7 linked regions of the Xenopus tropicalis genome follow. The protein of the gene in region 1 interacts with the protein of each later gene in a biochemical or structural test. Links are inferred from orthologs where the notes say so. Each region holds a gene or a part of one and is shown in the gene's direction. Other genes may lie near its edges.

Region 1 (4,052 bases):
AGGTACCCTTCTGCCTTCACACTCATCTATGTTTATAAGTACAATATTTGCTTAATATCTAACCTTACCTTATTACTAGCTAAGCATATTCCAATGCTGGTTTCTGCTCTCATATCCTTGTTCATATTCCTTTGCAACTGCAAGGGCCGGTGAATCACCAAGCAGCAGGGTGTCCATTAATGCTGTTTGCAGTTGTTTTTTAGCAACAAGCTTTAAATTAACACAATTGTTCTAGGTGCATCCGGCATTATAGTTTCTAGCATGGATGTGTCAGGGGAATTTACCTGCTTTGGTTTTTGGATTTTTTTTTGTGGACAGGCCTGGACTGGTAATCTGTGGATTCTGGCAAATGCCAGAGCCTTCTCCTGTAAGAGTCACTATTTATTGGGCTCATGGGGGCTGTTTAGGTCTCTGTGTAATTATAATCCCAGGGCCTATTTTGAATCCCAGGCTGGGCCTGTACATACCCCTGTATCTGTTTATTTTACTTCTACATACACTGATTTATAATCAAATTCTGAAAAAAATCAAACTATCCAGTTCACTGAGAAAAATTTTTGAGATTTGATTAAAATTGTACTTTTGTTTTTATTTTTTTTTTAATGTACCTTTTTTGGTACTATGCAGACTCCCGTGAAATGGATGGCTCTGGAAAGTATACACTTTGGGAAGTACACTCATCAGAGTGACGTATGGAGCTATGGTACGTGGAACAGATACCCAAGGCATTATTGTGCTTCACACTGTCATGAACTATATATCATTACCTGCCCTGCCTTTACTCTTAACAATAGTCAGCAATGCCTTTATTTTTGGTTCCTCAAAAAGGTGTTACTCTATGGGAAATGATGACATTCGGTGCAGAACCATACACAGGGATTCGTTTGTCAGAAGTTCCTGACCTCCTAGAGAAAGGGGAGCGACTATCCCAACCACAAATATGCACCATTGATGTCTACATGGTAATGGTGAAATGTAAGTAGAGGTATTCGTTGCTAATCTGGGCTCTCTTAGGCATTAGCAGTACATAGAGATCATTAGAACCTCTCGGAGGCTTTCATGTAGGAGATATCCAGGTATAGGGTCTATTATCCAGAATGATTGGGACCTGGGGTTATCCTGGATAAGGGATCTTTTCGTAATTTTGATCACCATACCTTAAGTCTGCTAAAAATGATTTAAACATTCCTTAAACCTAACAGTATTGTTTTGCCATCAATGTGGATTCATGCAGCTTAGTACAAAGTACTGTTTTATTATTAAACAGCAAACTGTAAGAGCCTGATTGACTTGATTCTGTTACATTCTCTATTTTCTAGGCTGGATGATTGATGAAAATATTCGCCCTACGTTTAAAGAACTCGGAAATGAATTCACCCGTATGGCTAGGGATCCACCTCGCTACCTGGTTGTTACGGTGAGATGAATCTCTTATTGACTGGGTATCATTTATTATTGCCTCAGGGGTGCAAAATTCCATTATTGCTGGATTACATATACAAATCACAAGTGCTATGATACAGTTTGCTCTTCATATTTTTGACTTTCTTATCTTTGCCATTTAAGTATGACCTGCTTCTTATACAATTTTATTGGTGTAAATAATAGAAACCTGGAGACTTCCAGATCTTTTCCTTTTTTTTCTTACTTATTCGCTGGTGTAATGAAAGTAAAACCACATTTCAGCCATATAGCATGACAGATACCCAAGCAAGTTAAAGAAATGACTTTTAAAGACCAAATACATGTAAAAAATACATATAAAAAAAATGTTATTTTGATGATTGTGCACCTTGATGACATCTCTTTTCTTCTCCAAACAGCGCAATAGTGATGCACTTCAGTCCCCACTCCCAGGGGATCCACCACCTCTGTCTGAGAAACAAGTGAGTGATCTGGAGTCTGACGTGGACACTGACCTTGAGTCTGAAGACATGGCAATGCAGCCTAAAACTCCAACTACCCTATATGCCTCACGACAAAGAATTGACTACTCTAGGGTAAGGAAAACAGAGCCTATCAAAAAGGCTTGGGCAAGGAGGGATACAGGCATCATGCAGTGCATGTATATCTTTTTTTATACGTAGCACTTTCAGTTGCAATAGCACAGTCATAAAGTTGCACATGGGGGAATGGTAAGTTTTTTCTGTAAGTTAAATCTTGGCTTTCCTTTCAGAGTCAGAGTGCACTGAGCTCTATCGCTGGGTACCTGCCTATGAACCAGAGTCTTTGCAGCTCCTCAAGAAAGGTAAATTTGGGGTAAAAAAAAAGAATAGCAATGACCACTTAAGGCGGCATGTAGAATAACTTAACTAAGATCATTTTTATTCCTTTCCCAATAAAGTTTATTTAATGTGTACATTAATGTACTGACAGCTATGCCTAAAAAGATAGAAAAGATTTTGTGCCTAATTTTCTATATTTGGATTTATTATATTTTTGTATATATTTGTCACTACAGCAAAAGCCCTTGAGCAGATTGACAGATTACACACCAAGATATGCTAACAGCCCATTTTTATGCTCCAAAATACAAAGAATACATACATTCTAGGAAATAGCAATACAACAAAACTCATATGGGGTTATGTTATTAAAGACACTAAGGGGCTGATTTACTAATCCACGAATGGATCGAAAGCGTCCGAATGCGTTTTTTTTGTAATGATAGGTATTTTGCGATTTTTTCGTCGCCATCGCAATTTTTTTGTAGCCGTTACGACTTGCGCGAATTGTCGCGACTTTTTCGTAGCCGTCGCGAAAAAAACGGAAAGGTTTGCCTGCCGTTTACTACGACTCAATACGAAAAAGTCGCGACAATTTGCGCAAGTCGTAACGGCTGCGAAAAAGTAGCGACAATTTGTGCAAGTCGTAACAGCTACGAAAAAAAATGCAAAAAATACGAAAAAGTCGCAAAATGTTAATTTCCAATACGATTTTTTCCCATTTGGGATTCGGATTCGTGGATTAGTAAATCAGCCCCTAAGTTTGCCCAGGAGCAGTAACCCATAGCAACCAATCAGCAGGAAACATTGACTGGTCACCTATTTAAAAGCAAACATCTTATTGGTTGCTATGGGTTACCACTGCTGGGAAAACTTAGTACTTTTTATTACATATAGGGGACAGCAAGGTTTTCTGCCTGCATTACTCTTAACTAACCCTTCTGTTAAGAGTGAAAATGAACATCTGGGAAGATGTAGATGGGGGGTTTCTAACATGTGGGCTGTTTTCAGGGAACAATGACCTCTGCAGAACCAATTCCAAGACATGGGACACGCAGAAGAGAAGACTCACTTGGCCGAACAGTGTCAGAGTCATCAGAGGGCTGTTGTACTTCTTCAGACCTGGAGACAATAGAGGATAATTCCTATGGCGGAGGGAGCCTGAGCCACATTTCTCGCTCTCGCCTTGACAGTGCATACCGATCCCAAAGGGAGAGCCTCCTTGTTGGGACCCCTGATGATGACAGCGAGTATATCATGCCAGGGCTCAGTCAAAGTGGTGAGTATAGCACAGAAATCCTCTACTCAGAACTCTTGCTGAGAAAAATGGCATGTGCCCAAAACCTTATGGAAATGAAAGATATCCCTGACGCCATAAAGTGGCAAATGTCATCTTAAACCCAAAATATCCATATGTGAAAACAGACTGTATCAGCCAGTATTATGTTACAATTACATGAAATGCATTTGTTCTGCTGCAATTTTTAATTTCATTTACTCTCATTCACACTCTCATTTAAACCACTGCCTGCTCGTTAGGGTATATGGACTCTGGGCAACCAACCAACTGTAAATTACCTCAGAATATCACTATTTACATAATACTAAAAGTACTTTTGGTAAATTGTTTTCATTATATAAATAATGAAGGAGCAACAGTATGTATGAGGTAAAGTAATATACATTAGCTTGGGAATATGTAAACAGAGTAAAAAGTAAATGGCTAATAGAAAGACTGAGTTCTGGCCATTTTTACAGCTTGTACCCTTCCCTGGATAGTACAGCTCTGTAAGAGACAAACTAGCACAGAATTCTTAGGTGTCTAAT
Region 2 (4,052 bases), about 9.9 Mb from region 1:
TTTGGCTTCTTCATCCTGGGAAGGTCAGAGAGAGGCACCTTGTGAGACACATTGGAATGGTCAGCGAGAGGCAGCCATTCTGGAAGAAGAAATGGGACAATATGGGGAACTGGCTATGTACCCAGGCAGAAGGCCTTTAATCTCAAGACACTGCTCCTGTAGGCTGGGGTACTCGGGTCCAAATATTGAGGGACCGCCAAACAGATCTTACTTCAGGCCAGAAGGCATTATTGACTCTCGAGGGGGGACAGGGGCTGGGGTTATTCTGCAAACTGCTCATTATCCAGGAATGTATGGAGAACAAGAAAGAAGGAGATTGTTTCGCTCTTTATCTGAGGGACCACAGCATTACCCAGCTCATGCACATAGTCCACCAAAGAGAGGCAGTTTGAGGGATACACGGCCATACATTTGCCAGCCTCCTCCACATGAACCTCTTTTTACACCAGTATGCCCCTGCTCTCATTGTCAGAACTCGGCCTGCTACCCTGTAACTAACATGCAGCCATTTCACCGTGGGGAGCTGCCATTGCATATTCCTCAGCCTTTTGGACAGAGTGTTCAAATCAACCATGATTTCCCACATCCTTTCCAAGTCCCTCAAACAAAGATGCTGTATGGCTATCCACCTTCACATGGAGAAGAACCACTGCATTTTAACCATTTCACAGAAGGTGGCTATGGACATACATATCCACATTTTCTAAATCCGTCTTACCTCCCTCCTCATTGCCCACCTAATGGCTATGGTCCCCACTCATTTCCTAATTCCATATCCCCATATAGCCCACCAAGAGGTCAGTCTCCTCCTTCTGGCTCTATATCTCCTGCCAATCTCTCTGCTCCCAGAAGAATGAGCGGTGACACAATCTCTGCAAGCAGTGTCAGTGAACTCACATCTGTGGAACAACAGCAACCGGAAGGTGAGTATTACAGCCAATGATACAGACAATTCAATGATATTGTGCTTTTGGACAAGTTATTAGTCACTTTGGCATTACCGACACCTTAGTGGTATGGTAATTGCACCTTTGGCTTAAACATGTCAAAGCAGGACTCCAATTGTAAATATATCCATAAACTCCTACCGTTGTTACTTTTGGGTGAAATGGGTGGCACTCTAGCCTTCAGCTGTCTATAGGAACTAGGAGATGCAGTCCAGTTACAGCTGGAGGGTGGCAGGTTGAACACCCCTGCCCAAGAATCAGGGCGCCAGAACAGCTTTAATCAGTTGTCTCTTATTCCGGGTAAAGTAAACCAATGCATATGTAAAATGCTTTACATACTATGCTCATCTTATCAATATCAGTGTATAACAGAGGGGCGTTACTACTACATAAGAGGAATGTTATGTGGTAAAGCCCATGATGTAATAATGTGTAGCCCCCCACCCTCAGAATCTAGCAGCTGCACAAGTAAGCCCTGATGTAACTGGAAACAATGGTTATATATGGATCATTTATTTCCACTGTCAGAGGGTCTGGCTTTCATTATGGGGACTGGTAAACAAGGAGTGGAGTAGTGCTGATTTAGTATGGCCAGTAATAATGAGAAACCATTTGCTCCATCTCCTTTCTCCTCATGATTCTGCATGTTAAGTATTACTAAATAGAAATCACTTGAGATCTATGGGAAAGGTCAAAATGCATTTTGAAAATGTCCCCTGAGGCTGGCAACTCAACGACACTACCCCGTGCATACCTTTTCTGCCAGTGCACTTGTGCTCTCTGTACTAGAAGAGCTGAAACAGAGTTACGAGGCTAAAGTGCTGCACACTGCAACCTGATGCACATTTTAATTTCACTTTACGGCATGAGTGGCACTGATGGGATATTCTGTCTTTATTCTGTCTTTATTTAGTTGCCTGGAAAATCCCAATGATAAAAGCTACTTCAAATAGCGTCAATATGCACCCCTTGCACTTCCTCATAGTTGCACTTGTTGCTGCTACTTTCCTCCTGTTGCGCCTATTGCCGCAGACCAATGTGGGAATGTTGGCGCTACTTCTGTCTCTGAACCAGAGGGTATCCCTACAGTTCCCACAATGGCCTGTGTCAGTTTGCGCATCACAGTTGTGCCTAAAGAAAGTGTTGCACGCGTCACTCTGAAGGCAATATGAGATCTGCCAGAAAATTCCAGAGCAATTGCATCCAGTTCCTGTCAAAGCGCAAGCGCGTCTTAAATCATTCGCAGCAAGTCCGTCAGGTGCGTCTTTCCATGGCAACCACAGTTACTCTCGAATCATTGGAAAATTTAGCATTATGGGTTAAAGGAAATGGTTAATGCGTCTGGAAGTGCACATTGCACTGTGCCTATGGGAAGTAGATGGCCCCTCATTTCTGGAATTTTCTGGAAAAAACACTGGCCTTTCTTGGCTGTTATCATTCTTTCCTAACAATGTATTGGCATCAAAAGTTATATTTATTGACAAGGCTGGTAAAGTGCCGACCAGGTGGCTACTCTATGGATCCAGGGCCAGGGCCAGCCGCCCAAAAGCCCTACCAGGAAAACTAAAGGTATTTTCAAATAGATATGATACTTTATCAGTATGGTGCAAATTTTTAACCACAGCCTAAGTAAGGGTCATTTGTATGTACTCTCAGCGCATTCCCTTCCCCAGGCTGCCTGGCCCTTTAAAGGAACAGTTTAGTATAAAAATGAAACTGGCTAAAATAGACAGACTGCACAAAATAAAAATATTTTCAATATAATTAGGCAAAAATGTAATCTATAGAGGCTTGAGTGGGCAGATGTATAACATAATAGCCAGAACTCTACTTACTCCTTTACAGCTCTCTAATCTGTTAGCAGTCAGTAGCCAATCAGTGACTTGATGGGGGGGCCATATGGGACATAACTGTTTGGTTATTTTGCATTTGAATCTGACCTGCGTGCTCACAAACTAACTGAACAGTTATGGCCCATGTGCCCCCCCCTAAAGTCACTGACTAACTAAGAGGTTAGGAGCTGAAAGCAGGAAGTAGAGTTCTGGCTATTATGTTAGACATCTGCTCACTCCCACCCTTTATAGATTACATTTTTGCCCAACTAACTATATTGCAAATATTTTTTTATTTTGTTAGCAAGCTAGACAGTGCCAGGTGACCCGAGAGTGGCTTCTGGGAAAGTCATACGTGTGGCACCAAATGAAAGTTCCAGCGCCCTGCTGCAAATCATTGGTACACATGGCTTCAGCCTCAGGTACTGCTACTGTCTAAAAATTCTCCTGAAATTATAGTTAGTTGCCCTTTACTTCTGGCCTGTGTTGGTGAGTGTTGGAGCCACAATCAGGATGCACATGGAATAGGCGTGACCTGAGACTGCTAATCGGCTCTGTGGTAAAGCAGTTTCCCAACTAACAGAGAATCCTGTCTCCCTGCCACCCCACAATACTGCTATTTATTTATTCTTTGTGCTCCGAGAGAAACCAAAACGCACAAAGACAACATTTTGTTCAAGTTTCTCGTAATCATTATAATTATTATTGTTAAAAGAAACTGAGTATTTGCCTGATGTTTCTCTCTGTGGGAACAATAAATCACCTTCATCCCTAATATCATGGAATGAAGCCTCTGAGTTCAGTTCTGTTACAGAGTGGCCTCTCCTGCACAAGTGCTCCTACCTGCACTGTGGCCTAATCCTTTCTCATTTATCTCTAATAGTGCGTCTATTCAGGGGATTCCTAATCATTTGTGCTCAGGACAAATGGCAAATCCACAATATGGACAAGAGTTATGAATAAGCTGTAAACGTCCTTATAAATGGCCCTTAAAGGAAAAGGAACTCTGTAAAAATGAGACTGTATATTTCTAATAGCAAAAATGTAATCCATAAAGGCTGGAATTAGCAGATGTCTAACATAATAGCCAGAACACTACTTCCTGCTTTCAGCTCTCTAACCTGTTAGTTAGTCAGTGGCACATGGGCCATAACTGTTCAATTAGTTTGTGAGCACGCAGGTCAGATTCAAATGCAAAATAACTGAACAGTTATGTCCCATATGGCCTCCCCTCAAGTCACTGATTGGTTACTGGCTGCTAACAGCCTAGAGA
Region 3 (4,052 bases), on another chromosome or scaffold:
TCATTCAGAAAAGACATAGTTATAGCCATGTGTAAATGGCCTCACCCAAGATCTGCTCGGAAACTCATTATAGCAGTACATATCCTGCGCATTCCAGCCCTGAAATCCAGCCTTCCCTGTTGCACAGTGTTTAATGTGACAAACCAAAATCCGAATTACCCCTCCAACTGTGTACACTCTTCTTCTTCCAACTGCAAATACTCCATGCACGTACTGGAAAAGAAATCTCATAAGGATATGTTATCCTAACAGAGAACTTTGAATGTTTACCTTGGCAAATTTAATGCTGTTGCAGCCAGTGTGATATTTATATTTTGGTTCTGTGTTGAGTAATATTTATGGATCAGAAACTAGATGGGGAAAAGGAAAACTCTACCAGGAATGCTGATTTTCATTCTCACCTTCATAACCCCTATTCACTTCTATTCTGATTCAATGTTACAGTGGTTTTGCCTCACTTCCTCTTTGTTCTGCTTGTTACTAATCTATATCTCCATCACTATGTCATTACAGCACTGACTTGAGGAAGAGAGAGATTCTCTCAAAATTGTTTGTCCAAACATATCGCTGTATGGCATATGAGTGCCCTACCTTCATAGTCAGTGTCCTGGGTCTAAATCTGACTCCAGAGACTTGTTTGCCAGAAGTCTCACAAATTTAACATTGGAATCAAACCAAGCTTCCAATACCCAGCACTTTAACCAACTGGGCCAATTTATTTCTACTGAGTAAAGAAAGGAATGAAAGTATGCTTTAAAGTAGGTCTTGGATTAAAACCCAGATAATAAACTTGTAACCATACATTTTGGCTAGAGAAGCCATGCTGTAGTCTTTTACTGCAAAGACTGAACAGTACATTGTTAAGGTATTTAGGAGCCCATTTTTAGAAAATGGGCAGGCAGAGGAGGGGGCGCTTTTTTGGTGGCAGAATTGACCTGACATGTGTGCCAAGGGGAATTACATAACTGGAGGGATGGCATGGGAGACAGTAATTTAACTTGCAAATACAGCATTTGAGTTTTCAGCATTATATTGTAGGAGAGATCAGCTCGTGAAAGGTTGAAGATATCCAGATTTATGTTATGTATTGACTTCAATGTTTATCTAACTCACTGTGCTCACAATCAACTACCATTATATCACAAAGAGTGATTTTTTTTTTTTGTTCTTATTTCTCCCCAGGAGCTTCTGTCTTTGTGCCACCTGAGCAATGCTGCCACAAAACTGATCATTTTCTGGCTTCCTCACCCTGGTTCCATGGGCCCATCTCACGGGTCAAAGCTGCTCAGCTTGTCCAGTCCCAGGGAGTTGAAGGGCACGGTGTCTTCCTTGTGAGACAGAGTGAAACAAGAAGAGGGGAATATGTTCTTACATTTAATTTTCAAGGAAGGGCAAAGGTAAGGATCTTACTCTACAATATAATAGTGGAAAAAATAGTTTGAAATTCATAAAATATTAAAATCTGCTCATCTGGCATAGAGTGACATGAGAAAACTAATGCTATGTAGCATTGCATATAAGCTTTCACTGTGAGAAGCTGTGCACAGGGTCATGTTGGTTTTTTTGGCTTAAGTGAATGCAAAAATTTTGTAAGCTTCTGTCTCCTCCAACTGGACTGGCACGGATACCGGTCACTTAACAAAAGCCAATTGGAATAGATACGGGTAAGATTTACAGATTTATAATGCTGTTAGCCTCCTTTCTGTTCCTAAATGAAACTGCTTAAATGAGGAAGTGCTAGCAGGAACTGTGAGGCCTCAGGATGAGGATATTGCTGCCAAAGCACCACCCACGCACAGAAAGTGTCTAGAAGGAAGCAGCAAAGGGACAGTTGGGGTTACCTACAACCAGTGTGGGCTTTCTGTCTAACTATTGTTGGTGTCTTTATTCTTAGTTTTCTGTGTAAAGTTACAATTCTTCAATTGTAAAGTTGGAGCAAAAAAGTATTTTTAAGTACTACTTGCTATTTCTGCAAAACTGACTTAATACACATGTGCAATTAAGGGCATGTGCCTGTACCTGAGCCTATTCCTTTCATTTCGGGCACAGGTAGGAGTGCATGGTGCGTATTTTCGGCAAGAGTTTTTCGGCTTGCCAAAAATATATGCCATACACATGGCGTGGCATTAGCCTGATACTCTTCTAAAAATTTTATAGAAATGAAAAAGTGAGTGCATATTTTTGTGGTGAGCTTTAATCTCACATTTTGCTAAACCTGTACCTAAGTTTGAAGCAACAACTAGGAACATGTACCTGATCTTGTAACAATGCACAATTCGTTTCTTTACAGCACTTGCGCCTAACCCTTACAGAGAGAGGTCAGTGCCATGTACAGCATCTCCGTTTCCGGTCTGTGTTGGAAATGCTTCAGTACTTCCGATTACAGCCAATTCCACTGGAGTGTGGAGCAGCGTGTGACGTGAAGTTGTCTGGTTACGTGGTAGCAGGTGTCCAGCCACATGGTAAGCATTTAGCATTATTTAGTTCTGCCCATGTTTACCCCGTTGCACAACTACAACTTTTGTTTTATGGCCATGTGGGTTCCTAGCTAGCTATGCAAGAGATACATACAGTAAACTATATATACCATATAGATTTTAGTATCACAACAGCCTTGGATATTATGTTTGTTCAAGAAGTTATCCAAGCTTCCCTTAAGGGTAATGTCCCATGAAGAGAATAGCTGTCCACTATTGATCTCTGCTACTGTGGGCAACTGGTCTCTCCAAAAAGCTTTTCAACTGGCAACAAAGGGAATCTTCGGTGAAAAGGCCTATGCATTGCGCGTCTTCAAAAAAATGATGCATTGGCCTTTCCACTGGTGATTCCTGTTGTTGCCAGTGGAAAAGCATTTCGAGATAGTCGCCCACAGCAGCAGTGATCTATCAGGGGCAACGAATCTCTTTATGGGACATTACCCTAAAGGCATTAACAGAATCTGCCATCACAACATCACTTGGAAGGGCATTCCACAACCTCACTGCCCTCTCTGTGAAAAGAAAAATGAAATTTCTGTTCCTCTGATCTAAAGGAGTGGCCTCTGGTGCACTGATTGTTTTTATGGGAAAAAAAACCCTATCTGTCTATAATCCCCTCTAATGTACTTGTACAGAGTATTTATGTCCCCTCACAAGTGCCTTTTTTCCAGAGAAAACAACCCCAACATTGAAAGTCTAACCTCATAATGGTGCTGTAAACAAAGCTGGGCTGGGAGGTTGGTTGTGTGTGATATTTAGTTTCTCAGGGCAGGGGGAGTTACGGGGCATGGAACTTTATGTCCTTTGTTTATCTAGTACAAGAATGGGACCTGTTAATTCAGAATCCTCAGTACCTGGGGTTTTCCGGATAAGGGATCTCCATACTTACAGGTCTATTAAAAATAATTTAAACATTAACTAAACCCAATAGGATTATTTTGCCTCCAATAGGAATTTATTATATCTTAGGTAGGATCAAGTACAAGTACAACTGTTTTCATATTATGGCAAAAAAGAAAATAACTTTTAAAAATTAGAATTATTTGATTAAAATGAACTCTATGGAAGATTACCTTGCCGTAATTTCTAAATAACTGGTTTCCACATAACGGATCCCATACCTGTATTAAAAGCAGTTGGCCAAACCTTGGGATGTCCTTTTTCTGTTTAATAAACAAAGAAGGGAACTGTACAGTTATTGCAAAAGAAAAAAAAAAAACATTATTCCCGTTGTGTGTTTTTATCAGGGAATTTATAGTAATGACCATAGAGTTATTAGCTTTCCAAGGAAGCCACACACAGTGTACACCTATTTTTTGTAACTTCTGTCAAATGATGCTGCCCTTTAGACACACGGTGATGTATGGGGATTTGTCCCATGCACTGTTTGTGTAGGCCACGATGTACACTGCGTCAGTAACCATGTAGGGCCTTCTGTCATTTTCCTTGTCTCAGTAGAGGTAAATTTACAGTAGTAGCATTAGTATTCTAGGTTATGTTGATATTGAGACAAACCAAAATATATACTGCATCTCAATAAGTAATAATGCTGATTTACTTCCATAACAAGCATGA
Region 4 (4,052 bases), on another chromosome or scaffold:
TATAGATACTCATAATAGTGCCCTCACTATAGATACCAGTAATAGTGCCCTCACTATAGATACCAGTAATAGTGCCCTCACTATAGATACCAGTAATAGTGCCCTCACTATAGATACCAGTAATAGTGCCCTCACTATAGATACCAGTAATACTGCCCTCACTATAGATACCAGTAATAGTGCCCTCACTATAGATACCAGTAATAGTGCCCTCACTATAGATACCAGTAATAGTGCCCTCACTATAATATTTTTGGCTGTAGTTTTGGCATATTTGGTAGTTGTTATTTTGGCTGCTAAAGGACAGTGACTGCCCATTTGAAAACAGGAAAGAGGAAGACCATTTGAAAAGTTGCTAAGAACAGTCTATGCTGTAATATTAAAAGTTAACCTGAAGGTGAACCACCCCTTTAAAAGCAAACATCTTATTGGTTGCTATGGATTACTGCTACTGGGGCAAACCTAGTGGGGCTCAATTATAAACACTGGGCACATTTGCACATGGGCTATAACCCATAGCAACCAGAGATTAGTTTCTTTTCAACTGCAAGTTGAACTATGAAAACTATGATTGGTTTCCATGGGTTACTGCCCAGGTGCAAATTTGTCCACTGTTTATAAATGACCCCCAGAGTGCCTTTTATTACATGCAGGGCTTATTTTTTATGATTTGGGGATCTAAGGTTTGCAAATAAACACAAATGATTTCACTGTGTGTGATTTGCTATGGTTTATATGTGTGATGGCCATTTCCCTATTTCTCCCTTAGGGGATGACATGGATTTGGAGGCCTTAGAGAGCAATCACAGTCCTGCCCCAGACAATCTGTATGAGAGAGAAGGCTGTACGAGCCGATGCCCCACTGCACAACAAGGACACCCGGAGAAAGCCGAACTGCTCTCCCCTGATTTGAAGAGGTCGCAGCCATTGCTCATTCAGAGCCGTAAGTGGGGGTAAGTGGCAGTCTGCCGGCGGCTAGAGATTTCATATTAAATCAGGCATTTAGCTAACTGGGACTGGCAATCTGTGGGTTCTGGCAAATGCCAGGGGGGCTGTAAGATGCCACAGACAGTCACTATTTATTGGGCTGGGGGGCTGTTTGGGCCTCTGGGTACTGGGAATGCCAGGGGGGCTGTAAGGTGCCACAGACAGTCACTATTTATTGGGCTGGGGGGCTGTTTGGGCCTCTGAGTACTGGGAATGCCAGGGGGGCTGTAAGGTGCCACAGACAGTCACTATTTATTGGGCTGGGGGGGCTGTTTGTGCCTCTGGGTACTGGGAATGCCAGGGGGCTGTAAGGTGCCACAGACAGTCACTATTTATTGGGCTGGGGGGCTGTTTGTGCCTCTGGGTACTGGGAATGCCAGGGGGGCTGTAAGGTGCCACAGACAGTCACTATTTATTGGGCTGGGGGGGCTGTTTGTGCCTCTGGGTACTGGGAATGCCAGAGGGGCTGCTGTAAGGTGCCACAGACAGTCACTATTTATTGGGCTGGGGGGGGGGGGCTGTTTGTGCCTCTGGGTACTGGGAATGCCAGGGGGGCTGTAAGGTGCCACAGACAGTCACTATTTATTGGGCTGGGGGGCTGTTTGTGCCTCTGGGTACTGGGAATGCCAGAGGGGCTGCTGTAAGGTGCCACAGACAGTCACTATTTATTGGGCTGGGGGGGCTGTTTGTGCCTCTGGGTACTGGGAATGCCAGAGGGGCTGCTGTAAGGTGCCACAGACAGTCACTATTTATTGGGCTGGGGGGGGGGGGCTGTTTGTGCCTCTGGGTACTGGGAATGCCAGGGGGGCTGTAAGGTGCCACAGACAGTCACTATTTATTGGGCTGGGGGGCTGTTTGTGCCTCTGGGTACTGGGAATGCCAGGGGGGCTGTAAGGTGCCACAGACAGTCACTATTTATTGGGCTGGGGGGGGGGGGCTGTTTGTGCCTCTGGGTACTGGGAATGCCAGGGGGGCTGTAAGGTGCCACAGACAGTCACTATTTATTGGGCTGGGGGGGGGCTGTTTGTGCCTCTGGGTACTGGGAATGCCAGGGGGGCTGTAAGGTGCCACAGACAGTCACTATTTATTGGGCTGGGGGGGCTGTTTGTGCCTCTGGGTACTGGGAATGCCGGGGGGGCTGTAAGGTGCCACAGACAGTCACTATTTATTGGGCTGGGGGGGCTGTTTGTGCCTCTGGGTACTGGGAATGCCAGGGCCTATTTTATATCCCAGACCAGGCCTGGTCCCCAATAAACTTCAGCTTCTGCAGACACTAGGTTATCGGAAGGGCTGCCCGGGTAAAAACCTCCTGCCCAATTTCCCTAATTAGGAAAACCGGGCTGGACTCAGTAACATTGATGTGGCGATTGGCCAATTGCCGATCGCTGTGTCATGGACCCACCCCCGTGATGTCATGGCCCACCACATCCCCGCCCCCCATGACATCACCCCCGCCCCCTGCCTGGCTTTCTTACTCGGTAAAAGTGGCAACCCTAATAACTACAGAGATTCCCTTTGCCTTTATCACAGTCCTCCTATGGTTCTGGACCTTCGAATGTTTTGGATCAGCAGTACTTGTACTACTCTCCATGAATGTGCGCTTTGCCTTTGCAAAGAATTATGATGGAAATTGCAGTCATTGCTTATTGGCCAACAAGACCCCATCACCCTGTTATAATCTATTCGTTCTGCAGTCTGACCCATGGCCTGCCTTATAGGGGTTGTTCATTTTTTGTAGAGAGTAATATTCTAAGACAATTTGCAATTGGTCTTCATTCAGTATGATGTAGAAAGTGCTCTTCTGAGACTATTTGCAACTGTTCTTCAATTTTTATCATTTGCAGTTTATTTTTTAATTATTTTGCTTTTCGTTTGGCAGCTCTCCAGTTTGGAATTTCAGGAGCTATCTGGTTGCTAGGGTCCAATTTAACATAGCAACCAGGCAGTGATTTAAAAGACCGACAGGAATATAAATAGAGGAGGGTCTTAATAGAAAGATAAATAATAAAAAGTAACAATAACACTGGAGCATCACAGAGCAATAGATTTTGGCTGCCGGGGTCAGTGACCCCCATTTGAAAGCTGGAAAGAGTCAGAAGGGAAAGGCAAATAATTATAAAATATAACAAATAAAAAATGAAGACCAAACAAATTAAATGTTGCTCCCCATAACCAAGAGGTGTAACCGTATGTATTTATGTGTTGCAGGAGATTACGAGATGAGGAATCACGATCAGCATCACTCCCTGACATCCCAAACCCGTTCCCAGAGCTCTGCAATTCTTCCCCCATCCTAAATAACACCCCAAGTGGTCGCTCCCCAAAGGAAGGGGGTCCTCATGTAAGTCCTTCAGCTTAAAAATAAATTATAATTAAATCCATGTTTTATTAGAGGGAAGTGTTATGTATTCCCTATTTGTGATTTCATTTAGTCTGTTGATTCCACCTATACTTCTAGTAGTAAAAATCCCCATCTAGTGGTCAGATAGACAACACTACTCTCTATGCATCTCTGCAAGCAAACCGTTTGCCAGCTCCCATTCAAAAATCTACTACAGGTATGGGATCCTTTATCTGGAAAGCCGTGATTCAGAAAGATCCAAGTTATGGGAATCTGCCATCTTCCATAGACTCCATTGTAATTAATTAATTTCAAATTTTTAACCATATTTCTTTTTTCTTTGTAGTATTAAACAGTAACTTGTAATTGAACCCAATTACCTCTTATTGGGGGCAGAACAGCCCTATTGGGTTTATTTCATGGTTAAATGATTCCCTTTTCTCTGTAATAATAAAACAGTACCTGTACTTGATCCCAACTAAGATATAATTACCCCTTATTGGGGCAGAACAGCCCTATTGGGTTTATTTCATGGTTAAATGATTCCCTTTTCTCTGTAATAATAAAACCGTACCTGTACTTGATCCCAATTAAGATATAATTACCCCTTATTGGGGGCAGAACAGTCCTATTGGGTTTATTTCATGGTTAAATGATTCCCTTTTCTCTGTAATAATAAAACAGTACCTGTACTTGATCCCAATTAAGATATAATTACCCGTTA
Region 5 (4,261 bases), on another chromosome or scaffold:
CAATTTAAATTAGGAAGTTTTGATGATCTAATATTTTTAACTATTATGTTCATATTGTGTAAAACAAGATGTAATGGCTAGGTTGCCATCTAATGTGGCTGTTCTGCAGTTATTATATTGCCCTTTTTCTATTTACAATGTATGCAGGACTTTGGACATCATAAAATGTATTTTCTGGCAGTGGCTCTTGATGAAATGAAAGGCAAATAGCCTTTTGTGGGGTCACAAAGAGGTGACTAGTGAATGAAAGTAGGCTTTCCAAGTCAGAGTTTTGAACAGCTCTGCTACCCATTCATTGTGTTTTGCAATACGCAGGAGCACTCATAAATACTTCTTTCTGACAGCACTCAGAAAATTCAATTAGGACTAGTTCACAACCCATCTTTACTTACAAATAATATAACCATCTCCTGCTGCTGTTGATTAGCCGATAAACCCCCTAAATTATAAATATGCATATTATAAGATATTTTAGCATGTTGCAATGACAGTTTTTTGTAAATTAAAATGATCTATACATACATATTTATAAAAGCAGTTTAAATATTTACATACAAATACTCTGTAGTGTAAACTGAGTGCGATATGTTACAGCACAATTATTTACATGCTTAATTTAAAGATAATTAAAAACAATAGAGTCAGTAACCTAGTAAAATTTACAAAATAGTTGGCTGTGCCTCTTTTCTCAGCAATTAAAATATGATTGTCTCTCAGTTAATAGGCAGCACCTTATTATCAAATAAGCAGCTACTTTCTTAAGGCAGTTTGTGATAGCAACAATTGCCTCGGCATCCCATATGTAAAAAAAAAGACGCACAGCAGATATCAGTACAGAGGAAATGTAACATGACTGTGCAGAATCCTTGCCACACCTTCCTTCTACAAGTGAAACCAAACTGCACCAATGCACACACCTCTCCCTGAATCCAGTGCTATCTTGACATTTTATATCCTCAAAACCTTCCTTTTGTCTGAGGATGTTTTAAAACATGCTTGCCATCTTGCCAAAGACCTTAATGCTTTTATTGTGCGAAATACAATCATTTATTTATTAATTTCTTGTTTCTGCAAAGCTTGATGGGAAATGGGAAATCATCCCTAAAGGCTGTTAGGTGAATGCTGGGAGATGTAGTTTATTAAACATTGGAGGTTGTACATCTCCGCCCTAGACCATTCATTGCCTTGTCCGCAGTATAACCATATAGTGGAATAATTAAGCACTTTTTGCTAAGTCTGATTTGATCTAATTCTGTCTCAATTGAGTATTTTTTTTTTTTAATTGTTCTTGTCCACATTGTGAACAGTATTATTTTACTGATGGATAAACTCCCTAGAACAGCAGGATGATAGAAACAACAGTTTGTCTCTTGGGAGGAATCAGATATCAGATTCACTAAGCTTTAGGTTCTGCCCATAAAGCTACCTTCTTCACCTCCTCATCCTTAGCCTAGTTACATTGCTGTAATCGATTGCTGCGCCTTTCCCTAACTGAACACTGTGGAAGCTAAAAAAGAAGACAAAAAAAGAGAATGAAAGATCATAAAGGTTGCCTGCTGCCTTCTCTTTGATTTGATGATCTTCATTTCTTCTAATTGGATAAAGTAGGAAGTCACTGGTAGCACTCTGTTGCTGGATTTTATTCAGACCAGCCCTGCAGTGGGTGGGGGAGAGCAGTCAGAAGAGAAAGGAGAAACTAAGTGATATGGTACGTGACAGAGAATGCAAGGACATAGGGCTTCTGTGCAAATGGGAAAGAAGATACAGGCGCAGTGAAGAAGACTAAACAGGCAATGAAGACAAAGGGAGTGACCACACAGTAACTGTTATCCTTATTTTCTGGTCCCAGCTTGTCATAGTACTGTGTGCAGTGATGTTCACTGTGCAGGCACCTGCTGCTCTGTAATGATTCAGCCTCTTTCGCTCGCAGCCTTAACACAACAGGATGGTATTACTGCTGCCACTGCTGCCTCGTGTACTGCTGTTGCCGTTGTTACTTCCCTTTTTGTTGTTGCTGCTTCATGACAGTTATTTTCTACCAAACAGATACCATCTTCAGATGCTGCAGGTGAGAGAACAGCAATTTACTCTTGGTTATTGGTTTACCTAACTAAATGACTGCTGACTATGTGTGTCCTGCATCCTCATAGAAAACATGTCTGAAAGGGAGAGTGAAGCATGCTCTCCTAATTAACAAAAGGGCAAAGAAGAGAATCAGATATTAGAGCCATAACTGCTATACTCTTTTTGTAAAGAATACCATTTAGTTGCTCTTTTCAACAGCCTGCTGAGACTACTTTCTGATTTACTGGATAAAATGCAGATGTCTTTTTTAGAGCATGTAGCCCTGCTTTTTCTGGTTATGGAACACATAAAGATCCAAGGTTCAATAAAGCAAGCTGCTTGAGATTTATGCCTTTAAGATGTCTGAAGATACTGCAGAGGGTTTGCAGAACCAGTGCTCTGAGCAGAGCTCAGGCCCCCCCTCTGCTGAACTTCAGAATGAAGAAAGCATGCCAGGGACTCAAGCTGAGGAGGAAACGACCCATGGGATCACAGGCCTTGCTATTACCTGCTGTGTATGCCTTGAGGCAGACAGGCTGAGAATCTGCCTTAACTCTGAGAAGATCTGTATTATTCCTATCTTGGCATGTCTAATTAGCCTGTGTCTCTGCATCGCTGGCCTTAAGTGGGTGTTTGTAGACAAAATATTTGAGTATGACTCTCCTACCCATTTGGACCCTGGGCGCAGAGGCCAAGATCTTATCCTTTATACTGACACCGCTCCTTCCACTTTGGTGCCATCTTCTGTTCGTACTTTACCTGTCCTTATTCCTACAACTGATGCTAAGGCACCAGTTACATTAAAATTTGGAACTTCTCTTTTACCCACAGAACCCACTTTACAGCCATTTACACCTGATCAAATTTTACCAAAAGTTACATCAGTAGGAAAATCAGTTGAGCCTTCTACCCTAAATCTAATTGGAACCACAGAAAGAGGTCGTTTAGCTACTACTAAAAGGGGTATGTATAGTTGGTATTACTCCTAATATTCTGTTCTTGCCTTTATTGTGGAGCACATATCTATGTATCTAGCTGTTTTTTTATTGATTGATTTATACTTAGCACTCTTACACTTTAAGAAAGGGTGTGTAATGCATCCACAATTTTGTCCAGTTAATAGATCACAACCTAGTTAATAGTACTGTAAGGCTATTAATTTGCAGTCTCACCTCTACTTTACATCCAGTTTATGACTACGATAAAGACTGAAAGTGTAAACAGAATTACGATGAAGACACTAAGGGCTTCATCATTTATTAAGAACATGCCACATGTAGTCAGTGTTGACCCTGAAAAGTAACCACCTTATCTGCTGCACATTTTGTAACATTACTGGCCTTAATGTATTGCTATTGAATATGATTAATCTATTGCAGAAAAGACCACAAAATAATTTTGTATTATATTGCCTTTGACTAGTTTTTCAATACAGGACTGTTGCCCTTTTATGCATTGGTTTAAGCAGTAACAAATAGTAATAATAGTAAATAGTTAAATAGTAAAATATGCCTGAAACAAGAAATTGAATGTCCTTTCATTTAGCTTCAGCTCAATGCCTGCTGTGTATTACTGTACAGTAGCTTTAGAGCGATTACAGAGCTATGAATTCTGTAAAGTAAAAATGCAAAACTGTTGGCTTAGTAAGTGCTGAAATTTTGTTTTTATGTGTATATTAAAGACCCTCACATATTCCTGAAGATTTTAAAGTAATGACGGTATTTTATTGTTTCTGCTCTACAGTGGGTTAAAGAGCAGGCAACACAGCATATGTCTATATCACTGAGAAGCAAAACTGTGGAATATTTTTCTTCTTAAGAATATTTTTCTCCTTAAGAGTCTCTTTTTACAGACTCAGGTAAGCCAAAAGAGTATGGCCTACATGGGTCTTTAAAATAACCATAGCATCTTTCATTCTGTATCACCTTCACAGCATAAGGGGTGATTAATGAAGCAGTTTAAATAATGTTGTGTTTTAATTTATGCCAGCACCAAATATGCATATACATTTAAATAAATCCACTTTGCCTAATTAATTCCCACTGACATTCATCAGGTGTTTGAATTACCCGTTCTGCTTGTTCTGCTTAAATATATTTTGCTTCTGCAGTCATTTAGTTGGCACATGACTTTTTTAAGATGGTGCTGTTGAGTCACTTTTAAGGTGTGAGATACCATGTGCATTAACCATGCAAAG
Region 6 (4,779 bases), on another chromosome or scaffold:
TCACAGGTATAAATGGTTTGGGATCCCTGATGGATCCTGATGGCTGCAAAGACCTCTGCCTCCACCACTGGTAATACCATTGTTTGTTTTTGGCAGACATGTGAGGCCTGATGAATTATGCCTCAAACTTATTACAACTTTGCTGAACTATTGCTGGCTTGAGACATAAGTGTTTATTTTGCAATTAAGAGGACCCTGAGTAGAGAGTATGGTGGGCTATAGGAAATATATCCAAACTATGGAGCAAATACCCAATGCAGTATTAGAAGAGAGTTCTGAGGCCTTTTCTGTTGGAAAGGGAAACCACAAATGAACATATACAAATATCTGCCCATGCTTGGTTTAGTGTATTGATCATTAATTAACATAAAAAGCTTTGTACAACATTAGTTGGTAGCAGGCTCCTTACCACTGTCTTTTATTACTTATTTTTATACGTCTTAGTATAATTTTTAGTATAGTTCTTGATCTACAACTGTATATTAAACATTGCTTTTGAGCAAACAGTGATCTGCCTCTATTGTGCAGAAAGCAATAGTTTAGGTATTATTGGGATGAAACATAAAATAATGTAACTGTAAATGGCCTCAACAGGCATTGGCACAGCAGACAAATACCCTTTAGTCTGGTCATAACATGTAGAGATACAGCTACTGTATATATACCTCTAACTCTCATTATCAAGCCCTTATGTTATATAGTATAAATAAAAAAAGTATAAGGTTTTAGTGAGAGGCAGGGATTTTCATTGCTTCCCTTTCTGTGGAAGTAATGTAGCAATAGCAGGGGATAACATAAAGCAACAAGAGCAAGGAGAAGTAGCAGAAAGAAAGTTTATTTTTCAAGGAATACTGATGGATAACCATTAGTTCAGATCATGTTATTTTGATCATGAATAAAAATTGTGGTGTCTTGTGAAGTGCTCCATAAGCAGAGCAAGCAGCTCAGAGGAAGAATCTTGTACTGAAGTGATGCTAATGCTGATGATTCCTGACATTTATTATCTATATGTTGTGCAGTTAGCTCTGGCCAAGTGAAAAAAATTACTCTCTGAACATTGCAATACTTCCTGCTTCTCAGAGCTAAAAAGGCCCATAGGTTTTGCATAAAAGCATGTCTTAGCTGTAAAATCTTTGTGCAACACAGAGAAGAAAAACTGCAACTGAACTGTAAAAATGAACTATAAAAACATCTAAGCAAATTAGTGTCAGGAATCCAATGCTTTTATTAGTTAAGGGGGGTGTTTGTATAAATGGTGCCCACCCCCAATATTAATTAAAATCAATTACTGCATGAGTTCAGTTTTGTAATATTGATTCCTGTTCAGAGTGAATTATATTTTATATGCTAAAATGCTATTCATGCAAGCCTTGATATAATTTAAAATAGCAGTGTTAGCAAAGGGTTAAGTTCGCTTACATTCAGTGCAGACTGGCAAAGAAAAGGAAATCGTGTTGTAAATCAAAACCCAGTCTGTCAATTTAACTTGTGCTTGAATAGGCATGTTAAAATAAGCACATTCGTGAATGAAGCTGCCTTTATTAAATTCATGTTCAAGAAATCTGTCTTTTTTAACACTAATTACACCCTGTGTTTTTTGAACGGTGTACTTTATGTTTGTGCAAAGAACCCGTATCTGCTTGTCTCGGTGCTGTTAAATGGGATTAAATATTGTCGTGGGAAGGATGCAGCCTGTGATCAAAATGGTCTCTTCCACTATTTAGCCAACCTTTGTTGAATGAGTCATCCAAACAGTCTCTCATTGGATGGAATGGTTAGCACCCAAGGGATTGCCAGGCAGGCGCTGCATGGCCCTGCTTCATTCACAGAATTACTGGTATGCTAGCCAGCCCTTTCATTCACATAAATAGAGTTCCATTCACATTTTGCAATTTTTATTTGTATCTAATGAAGAGAGACATTTGGGAACAATAGGGCTTTCTTTGTTAGATAAGACCTGAAACAATCTGTGATGTGAGTATTTGCTGTTGCTATGCTAACAGACAGAAGGGTAAGATGAATGCTGTGTGGATACTGCAGCGAGTTGCTGTGTGCTAATGAAAGGCTATTCTGCACATCACTAGAAACTCGCTCTTATATTAAATAGGACATTTCCATTATTCATCACTCCTGGGAGCTTAGGTGCTGACTTGTTTCATACATCATAAATAAGACTGACAAAATACATGAATTTTAAAGTTTATTTAGTGCATCTTGTTCTTCATGTGCTGCTTTATTATTACTGAAAGAATGGGAAACCTAGTAAGGGATTGTTGAATTGTACTGCTTCCTTTCTAAACAAGTTATCCCTTGTTTGTCACTTTTTAACATTGTATTTATTAATTCTGTGTTGTGGAACATACTGTGCTCCAAATGATCTAGTGGATGAATGGTGGTGGACACTATACTGGTAAGATTTTAATATGCATTGGCAGTTTCAAATGTTTGGGTATTTTGAGAATGCTAAATGATTTTCCTGAAAAAAGTGCAGCCTTTTTTTTTTAATATATTGGAAATAACTATTTACATCCAGACTTGCATTCAAATGCCTACTCCTACGCCCATTATGTACCGTAACCTAATATTTATTACCAATAGAGCACTGGATTTTATTTGTTTTTCTCTATTGATCTTATCATGGAATTTCTAAAACAAATTGTTGTGCTTTTGTCATCCTAATGTGAATACTATTTTTAGCAATTCTGTGCAGTTAGTGCCATTTTCACCTTTTTATATTTCATTAACATAAAATGTATGTGGAACTGTAAGTGTATTTAATACTTAATTAATACTTATTGGGTTTTATGTAGACAATCAGCTACTGTGCTTTACAGGTAGACCAACATAGTTGATAGAGGTGTGCTAAGGTTTGGGAAAGAAGGGACAGATTAAAAAGACTAGAAAAAAATGATGTGTTTATGAAGTTGGGGAGAAGAAATTTGAGAATTGATTGGTTCTAGTGTGCTGTAAGTGGGTGGATTTTTTTGTGCTACAGGAAGTGATTTGCAGCGTTCACAGAGCCTTTTGTTGAAAAGGGTCTCCTCATTTGTGTGAGTCATGCTTTTGCTGTGAGCGAGTTGGCAGCTCTAACCAGAATTGGAATGTCATAGAGAACTGTCTGCTTCTGCATCCATTCTACGTACATCTACAAGAACAGACAGATTCAATTTTATTTTGTTTGGTTTTTTTTATCTGGACAGTTTAGCACAGGTTTTCAAGTGTTTTTTTTCTTCTAAATTGTTATAGTATTGGCTTTCTTAATCTCTCTTACAGGTATAGTTATGAATGCCGGGATATGTTAGCAACTGTCATTTTTAGATTGGCAACAGATTTGCCAAAGCATATGAATAAAACGAGATAGAAGGGCATGCTTCAACGTACCAAGTATAACCGCTTCAAGAATGAATCTGTGACACCAGTGGACGACCTATTGCACAACCTGTCCATGAACAGTAAAGTCACCACTGTAGCCGGAAATCCAGCTTCACCACCCTGCTCAGCACCACCTGACGTGCTGCAAAAGGACCAAGAAAATGGACCCACCACTCTTTGTACGTTCATCCACAAAGTGTCCAACTTAAAACTCTCCAGTTCAGGCAGCCTGTTGGGTATTAAGAACCTTTCCTCTGCAGTAAAGGAGCTTACAGGTTCCAAGTTACAGGGGAGCTCTCCAGCACTAAGCATAGCAGCAGGAGCCACGGAGAACACATGTAACCTTGTCTCTACCCCGTGTTCTCAGCAGGACTTGAACAAGATGAGCACAGGGAAAAAAACACCAGAAGAAATGCATCAGGGAGGTGAGGATTGGAATCAAAGTAGCAGCTTCGTCAATAAACCTTCTCGGGGATGGTTGCACTCGAATGAGAAGATCCTGGGACCTGGAGTGACGTACATTGTGAAGGTTGGTCTGCTTCTTCCTTGTTCTTCTTTTTTATCAATGAACAGTTTGCTCTCGATAACAGCAGAATCATTCAGTATATAACGGCTCTGTCAGTGGCTGTATATTCCGATCTACAGCAGAATGATTAAACATGCAGTTCACATGTAAATGCTTTACTGTTGTGCTTACCAGGAGTAGGAGCATTCTGTTTTAGCTGGTAGCTTATTTCCTTGCAGTGTGAAAAGAAGTGTACGTTCCAAATATCAAGGGCTTCTGTTCTGCTGGATATATTTAACCATATGATATGAGACAAGCCTTAATGAATGCAGCGCTGCTTTCCAGTTAGACATTACTATGTTAATAAGAGCATTGGTTAAACAGTTACAGAACAATCATGGGATTTTTGTGGTTGCATAGAAATACTGCCTTGTAAACAATAATGTTACAATGATATTTTTTTATCCTGCTGTACAGGAGCTTTTTTTTTGAAGCACAGTAAAAAGATGTATGTTTACCATATAGTGCAGTTAAAATCGCGGAAGACTTTCTTTGAAGGCTAGGTTAATATTTGCAATCGTATATTATACCCACTCTTATGCTTCCTACGTGATGATTTTCCTGCTTGTTCCCACACATTCTCTATTCTTAGAAAGAAAAAGTCAGGAATATTGATATAAACCTACATAGTGCTACTTCTTCCAAGACTGGTTTTATCCTTAATGGTTGCATTTATAATAATTTCTAATCAGAATAATGTATTTTATTGGATTTTTAATAAGAAAAATGTTAAAGCATTATGCTGGCAAAGAGCAGAGGCTCTTTACCAGAGTTTTGTGCCTCTCAGTAGAAGAGGATAAGCTTACTTGTGTATCATTCCAAATAACAAAATAGGCATTAGC
Region 7 (4,052 bases), on another chromosome or scaffold:
ATTTGGGGATAGCTGTTACCTTACCTGCCTAGGTGCCCCCAGCCACATCACTTGTACTCTGATACACTTTTGTCACTCTTTACTGCTGTGCTGCAAATTATGATTGATGTCACCCCCTCCTCCCCCCCCCCCCAGCAGCCAACAACTGAATAATGGACAGGTAACAAGATAACACCTCGCTGAAACCTTTGGTAAAGGATTCAGCAGTCTGAACTGATAGTGCCTACATGAGCTAATAGCACTCCTGGTACTGTTTTGAATTATGAGTGGGTAAGCAGGCAAAACTGCCTATAATGACCCCAATAATGTGTGGGTTCTCTGCCAGGTAAAATACACTGTGAAAATACAGCTCTATGTGCCCCATTACCTTTAATTAGTTTGTATAGTAAAGGAGATATAGATATATATACACAGTATGCACTTAATAATGGTACACTGTTTTTATGAACGATAACTACAGATCTTCATTATATTTTACAGTGAGGGATAGATGTAGAGGCACCCAAAATACATTAAGTGAGAAGCAGTGGGAACTTCAGCCCAAAATACATTAAATACAGTAAGAGGCAGTATAATGAACTAAATGGAATTAAAATACGAGAGGCAATACATTGACACCCGAGACCCCCTTCATATTTCCTGAAGGCTGGAGAAGATTAGCAATGTAGAGATCAAATGACTTAAGAAATTGTGCCTTGCTAAATGTGCTCATTATAGTGGCCCACCTAGTGGTAGACATGAGAATATCAACCCAGGTGGAGAAACCTGTTTTGCTGTTATGCGACTTGGGTTCTATTGACAGTACATTGAGTGGGAAAAAACTGCTTATCTGAAAGCAGTTCTATTGTGTAATGCTGACTTCTTCCGAAAGCTCAGAATCAGGCGCAATGCACTGAGATGGCTGCCTACACACCAATATTACAGCTAAAAAATACATTTGTTGGTTCTAGAAATTTTAAATGGTAGAATAAATTATTTGCAGTGTACACAGTGTAATTTAGAAAAAAGCACACCATAGAAATCATGCCAGAATCGCTTTATGAAAAAGTTGAATGCAACAAGTATTTCAACCATTAAGTCACAAGGCAGCATTCTTTTCACATAGTTCCAGCATCATTGCATCTGCTATGCAGAGCTGCATTCAGTGTTTTATACTAGACAAACACATTATGATGTGAAAGACTTTAGTGTGCAGATTTTAAGATGGCCTCTCATTTTTTCCATCCTTTTTGCTTTCGTGTAACTGCGACAGTGCCATTATTTTTTGCTTTGCAGCTCTGCTTACTTTACAAGTAGGTTTCTTCCCAGGCTCCAAGTAAGCCATTTGTGCTGGGGCCAAACAAACAAAAATGTTACATGTTTGCTTGGCTTATATATGTGATAATTTGTTTTAATATCTCTTTTTCTGCTCTATCCAGGAAGACACTATGGAAGTGGAGGAGTTTCTGAAGGAAGCAGCAGTAATGAAGGAAATTAAACACCCCAACCTAGTGCAACTTCTGGGTATGTAACCTAAAGAAAGTATTCAAAGCATTACCCATAAGAATGAGTGAATGTGTGTGTAATATGTACAGGATCTACATTAGTCTTTTGGCTCTCGGTTTCTTCCATTAGTCAGTCTGTCTTTGTTCCCTTTGGCTGTGTTTTTTTGATGCATGTACAAGTGTCTTCATTCTGTGATGCAGTGCACTGTCCAGGTAGAATGTAATACACTATTAAATGAAGGAATGAATATTTTTAGATACTACGTAAAAGTAAGAATGACCTTTGGGATACCTGCTTATTAAAACCTGTAATAGCCTATTCTTCCTACAATATATTTATCTGTCATCTTAACTATGTTCTTAGGTGTTTGCACACTGGAGCCCCCATTTTACATAGTAACTGAATACATGCACTATGGGAACCTTCTAGACTATTTACGTGAATGTAATAGGGAAGAGGTGACTGCTGTTGTGCTACTTTACATGGCCACTCAGATCTCCTCTGCAATGGAATATCTGGAAAGAAAGAATTTTATCCATCGGTGAGTTGCATATATAGGTACCTTGAGTAATTTTATAGTCCAGCAAATCCATCAGTAACACATTGTGAGGTCTGGGAACTTAAATTATAGCTTTGTGTCTTTCAGTTGGCAACTTTGTATACATAGTAGTGGGTTGCAAGATGTATCTATACGCAGACACTGAGTTTCACTTTGAAAATCCTAATACAAAACAATAAAATGTTTAGATAACTTACTAAAAGTGTTTATTAGAATACAAAAGTATAATATACAGTGGCAACTTTTCTCTCCCATTGTACACTTTTCATGCATCATTGACTATGAGCTGTGAGATCACAAAGAAATGCTAAAGCCCCAAAAATCTGAAAAATTTAGCTGTTTTTTTTTTTTACAAGTTCTGTTGGAAAGTAGGTCATTGCCAGTCTTACGGATCACTTTCTGACATTACTCTGCAGATGCTCTGAGTTAGTGTAGTAATTGTTTTTTGGGATTTAGTTATATGAAGCATTTTTTTAATTAATCCAAATTGCAAAAAATACTTGTTGAGGCACGTACTACGGTAGAACCCCCATTTTACATTTTTCGGCGGACCAGAATAAAATGGTTTATAATCTGGGAAAATTCAAAATCTGGGAAATGGACAAAAACAGTGTAAAACTTAACATAAGGCTATGTTAAATTGAGGTTTCACTGTACTGTAGTAAAAACAATTTGGCTGAAAGGTAAGCACCTGTACTACTCTAGCTTCCACTCATTACTAATGCATACACAGTGTGTATCTCTAAGGCCTCAAGGCTATGGTAGATAAAAAGTGATGAACAGACTGCAAGCCAGCACCAAACCGGATTCCACAATTTCTCCGTGTTCACCTTACTAGACCAAGAATTCTTCAATGATGAAGTTAATCTTCTTAAAACCGCCTTTATTCACTTAATTGGCAAAGACCAGGATAGCAACGTTCGAGGTCTACATTGACCCGTTATCAAGCTTTGGCTTGAAGCCTTAGCTTGATAAAGGGTCAATGAAGACCTGAACCTTACTATCCTGGTCTGTGCCAATTTTGTGAATAAAGGCGGTTTTAAGAAGATTAAATTCAAATTTATTTGTCTCATACACAGTATGATATAAAGTGAAATGCTTATACGATACGATTCATTTGGAGTGCTGTTCATAATTGGAGATTAGAAGTGATTGTCAATTCTGTATCCTGTTGTATTCATCTACACATGTTTAACCCCTTTAAAGTTAATAATCCCTTGAACTCATTAATGAGGATGTAAGGTTGTGTCCTTTTTTAATGTCTATACTAAATACCCTTGATTTTTCTGTAGGGATTTGGCTGCACGAAATTGTCTTGTGGGGGAAAATCATGTGGTGAAAGTAGCGGACTTTGGACTGAGCCGCCTTATGACTGGTGATACGTATACAGCACATGCTGGTGCTAAATTCCCAATTAAATGGACTGCTCCAGAAAGTTTGGCATATAATACATTCTCCATAAAATCAGATGTTTGGGGTAAGAGAGAGTTTGTTATGTACTTTATTTACTTTGTCTACTTTCTGATACTGCAATGTACTTTTATACCATTTAAAGAGGTGCAGGGGGGTTTGGTTTAAAATCCACTCTAATTCTAAATAACAGAGAAACGTCCTTAATGACATTCCTAGAACTTTCACTAAGGTGTATTTAAAATAATGTGACATATTCAGTATCAACCACATCACAACGTCAAATCGTTTTGGATGCGAGTGATTTGGTATAGAATATAAACAATTCCCTAATTCAGATTAGAGGTACATTAAATCTGATCGAGTCACAGTTAGTTCCCACATACCAATATCCTTTTGTTTTTAGAGTGTTTTCTCTATCAGTGTTTGCTCTATCTCTGCATGCCTTAAAAATATTATCAAGCTCATAGTGGAAGACTGAAGTACCTTTTAAAGCATTAACATAACCTCTCAGTCCTTTCTACTGACATCAGGTATTTGTGACATGAAATCAACCTTAAATCTCTCTCCAACATTACTGGAATTCTTTAAATTGCTA

The links.
Region 2: the proteins of erbb3 (region 1) and tns2 form a complex in vitro, tested with the Homo sapiens proteins (2 studies listed by BioGRID and IntAct, with this or other methods). The link is inferred for Xenopus tropicalis from reciprocal best matches to the Homo sapiens genes ERBB3 and TNS2.
Region 3: the proteins of erbb3 (region 1) and sh2b3 form a complex in vitro, tested with the Homo sapiens proteins (2 studies listed by BioGRID and IntAct, with this or other methods). The link is inferred for Xenopus tropicalis from reciprocal best matches to the Homo sapiens genes ERBB3 and SH2B3.
Region 4: the proteins of erbb3 (region 1) and grb7 form a complex in vitro, tested with the Homo sapiens proteins (2 studies listed by BioGRID and IntAct, with this or other methods). The link is inferred for Xenopus tropicalis from reciprocal best matches to the Homo sapiens genes ERBB3 and GRB7.
Region 5: the proteins of erbb3 (region 1) and nrg1 form a complex in vitro, tested with the Homo sapiens proteins (8 studies listed by BioGRID and IntAct, with this or other methods). The link is inferred for Xenopus tropicalis from reciprocal best matches to the Homo sapiens genes ERBB3 and NRG1.
Region 6: the proteins of erbb3 (region 1) and shc3 form a complex in vitro, tested with the Homo sapiens proteins (2 studies listed by BioGRID and IntAct, with this or other methods). The link is inferred for Xenopus tropicalis from reciprocal best matches to the Homo sapiens genes ERBB3 and SHC3.
Region 7: the proteins of erbb3 (region 1) and abl2 form a complex in vitro, tested with the Homo sapiens proteins (2 studies listed by BioGRID and IntAct, with this or other methods). The link is inferred for Xenopus tropicalis from reciprocal best matches to the Homo sapiens genes ERBB3 and ABL2.

What each region holds. Positions count from the first base shown.
Region 1 is NC_030678.2:137,680,166-137,684,217, reverse strand, and holds part of erbb3 (receptor tyrosine-protein kinase erbB-3), read left to right. Parts: coding exon 1-2; intron 3-627; coding exon 628-703; intron 704-828; coding exon 829-975; intron 976-1,319; coding exon 1,320-1,417; intron 1,418-1,823; coding exon 1,824-2,000; intron 2,001-2,176; coding exon 2,177-2,248; intron 2,249-3,236; coding exon 3,237-3,504; intron 3,505-4,052. UniProt on the Homo sapiens protein: Tyrosine-protein kinase that plays an essential role as cell surface receptor for neuregulins.
Region 2 is NC_030678.2:147,566,766-147,570,817, reverse strand, and holds part of tns2 (tensin-2), read left to right. Parts: coding exon 1-923; intron 924-4,052. UniProt on the Homo sapiens protein: Tyrosine-protein phosphatase which regulates cell motility, proliferation and muscle-response to insulin. Phosphatase activity is mediated by binding to phosphatidylinositol-3,4,5-triphosphate (PtdIns(3,4,5)P3) via the SH2 domain.
Region 3 is NC_030677.2:163,168,620-163,172,671, reverse strand, and holds part of sh2b3 (SH2B adapter protein 3), read left to right. Parts: intron 1-1,182; coding exon 1,183-1,397; intron 1,398-2,290; coding exon 2,291-2,462; intron 2,463-4,052. UniProt on the Homo sapiens protein: Links T-cell receptor activation signal to phospholipase C-gamma-1, GRB2 and phosphatidylinositol 3-kinase.
Region 4 is NC_030686.2:9,726,504-9,730,555, reverse strand, and holds part of grb7 (growth factor receptor-bound protein 7), read left to right. Parts: intron 1-769; coding exon 770-953; intron 954-3,195; coding exon 3,196-3,328; intron 3,329-4,052. UniProt on the Homo sapiens protein: Adapter protein that interacts with the cytoplasmic domain of numerous receptor kinases and modulates down-stream signaling. Promotes activation of down-stream protein kinases, including STAT3, AKT1, MAPK1 and/or MAPK3. Promotes activation of HRAS.
Region 5 is NC_030677.2:96,901,461-96,905,721, reverse strand, and holds the start of nrg1 (pro-neuregulin-1, membrane-bound isoform), read left to right. Parts: upstream 1-1,461; 5' UTR 1,462-2,423; coding exon 2,424-3,027; intron 3,028-4,261. UniProt on the Homo sapiens protein: Direct ligand for ERBB3 and ERBB4 tyrosine kinase receptors. Concomitantly recruits ERBB1 and ERBB2 coreceptors, resulting in ligand-stimulated tyrosine phosphorylation and activation of the ERBB receptors.
Region 6 is NC_030677.2:137,828,518-137,833,296, reverse strand, and holds the start of shc3 (SHC-transforming protein 3), read left to right. Parts: upstream 1-1,834; 5' UTR 1,835-1,974; intron 1,975-2,382; 5' UTR 2,383-2,410; intron 2,411-3,011; exon of another isoform or gene 3,012-3,273; 5' UTR 3,274-3,367; coding exon 3,368-3,901; intron 3,902-4,779. UniProt on the Homo sapiens protein: Signaling adapter that couples activated growth factor receptors to signaling pathway in neurons. Involved in the signal transduction pathways of neurotrophin-activated Trk receptors in cortical neurons.
Region 7 is NC_030680.2:99,866,956-99,871,007, reverse strand, and holds part of abl2 (tyrosine-protein kinase ABL2), read left to right. Parts: intron 1-1,418; coding exon 1,419-1,503; intron 1,504-1,848; coding exon 1,849-2,026; intron 2,027-3,336; coding exon 3,337-3,521; intron 3,522-4,052. UniProt on the Homo sapiens protein: Non-receptor tyrosine-protein kinase that plays an ABL1-overlapping role in key processes linked to cell growth and survival such as cytoskeleton remodeling in response to extracellular stimuli, cell motility and adhesion and receptor endocytosis.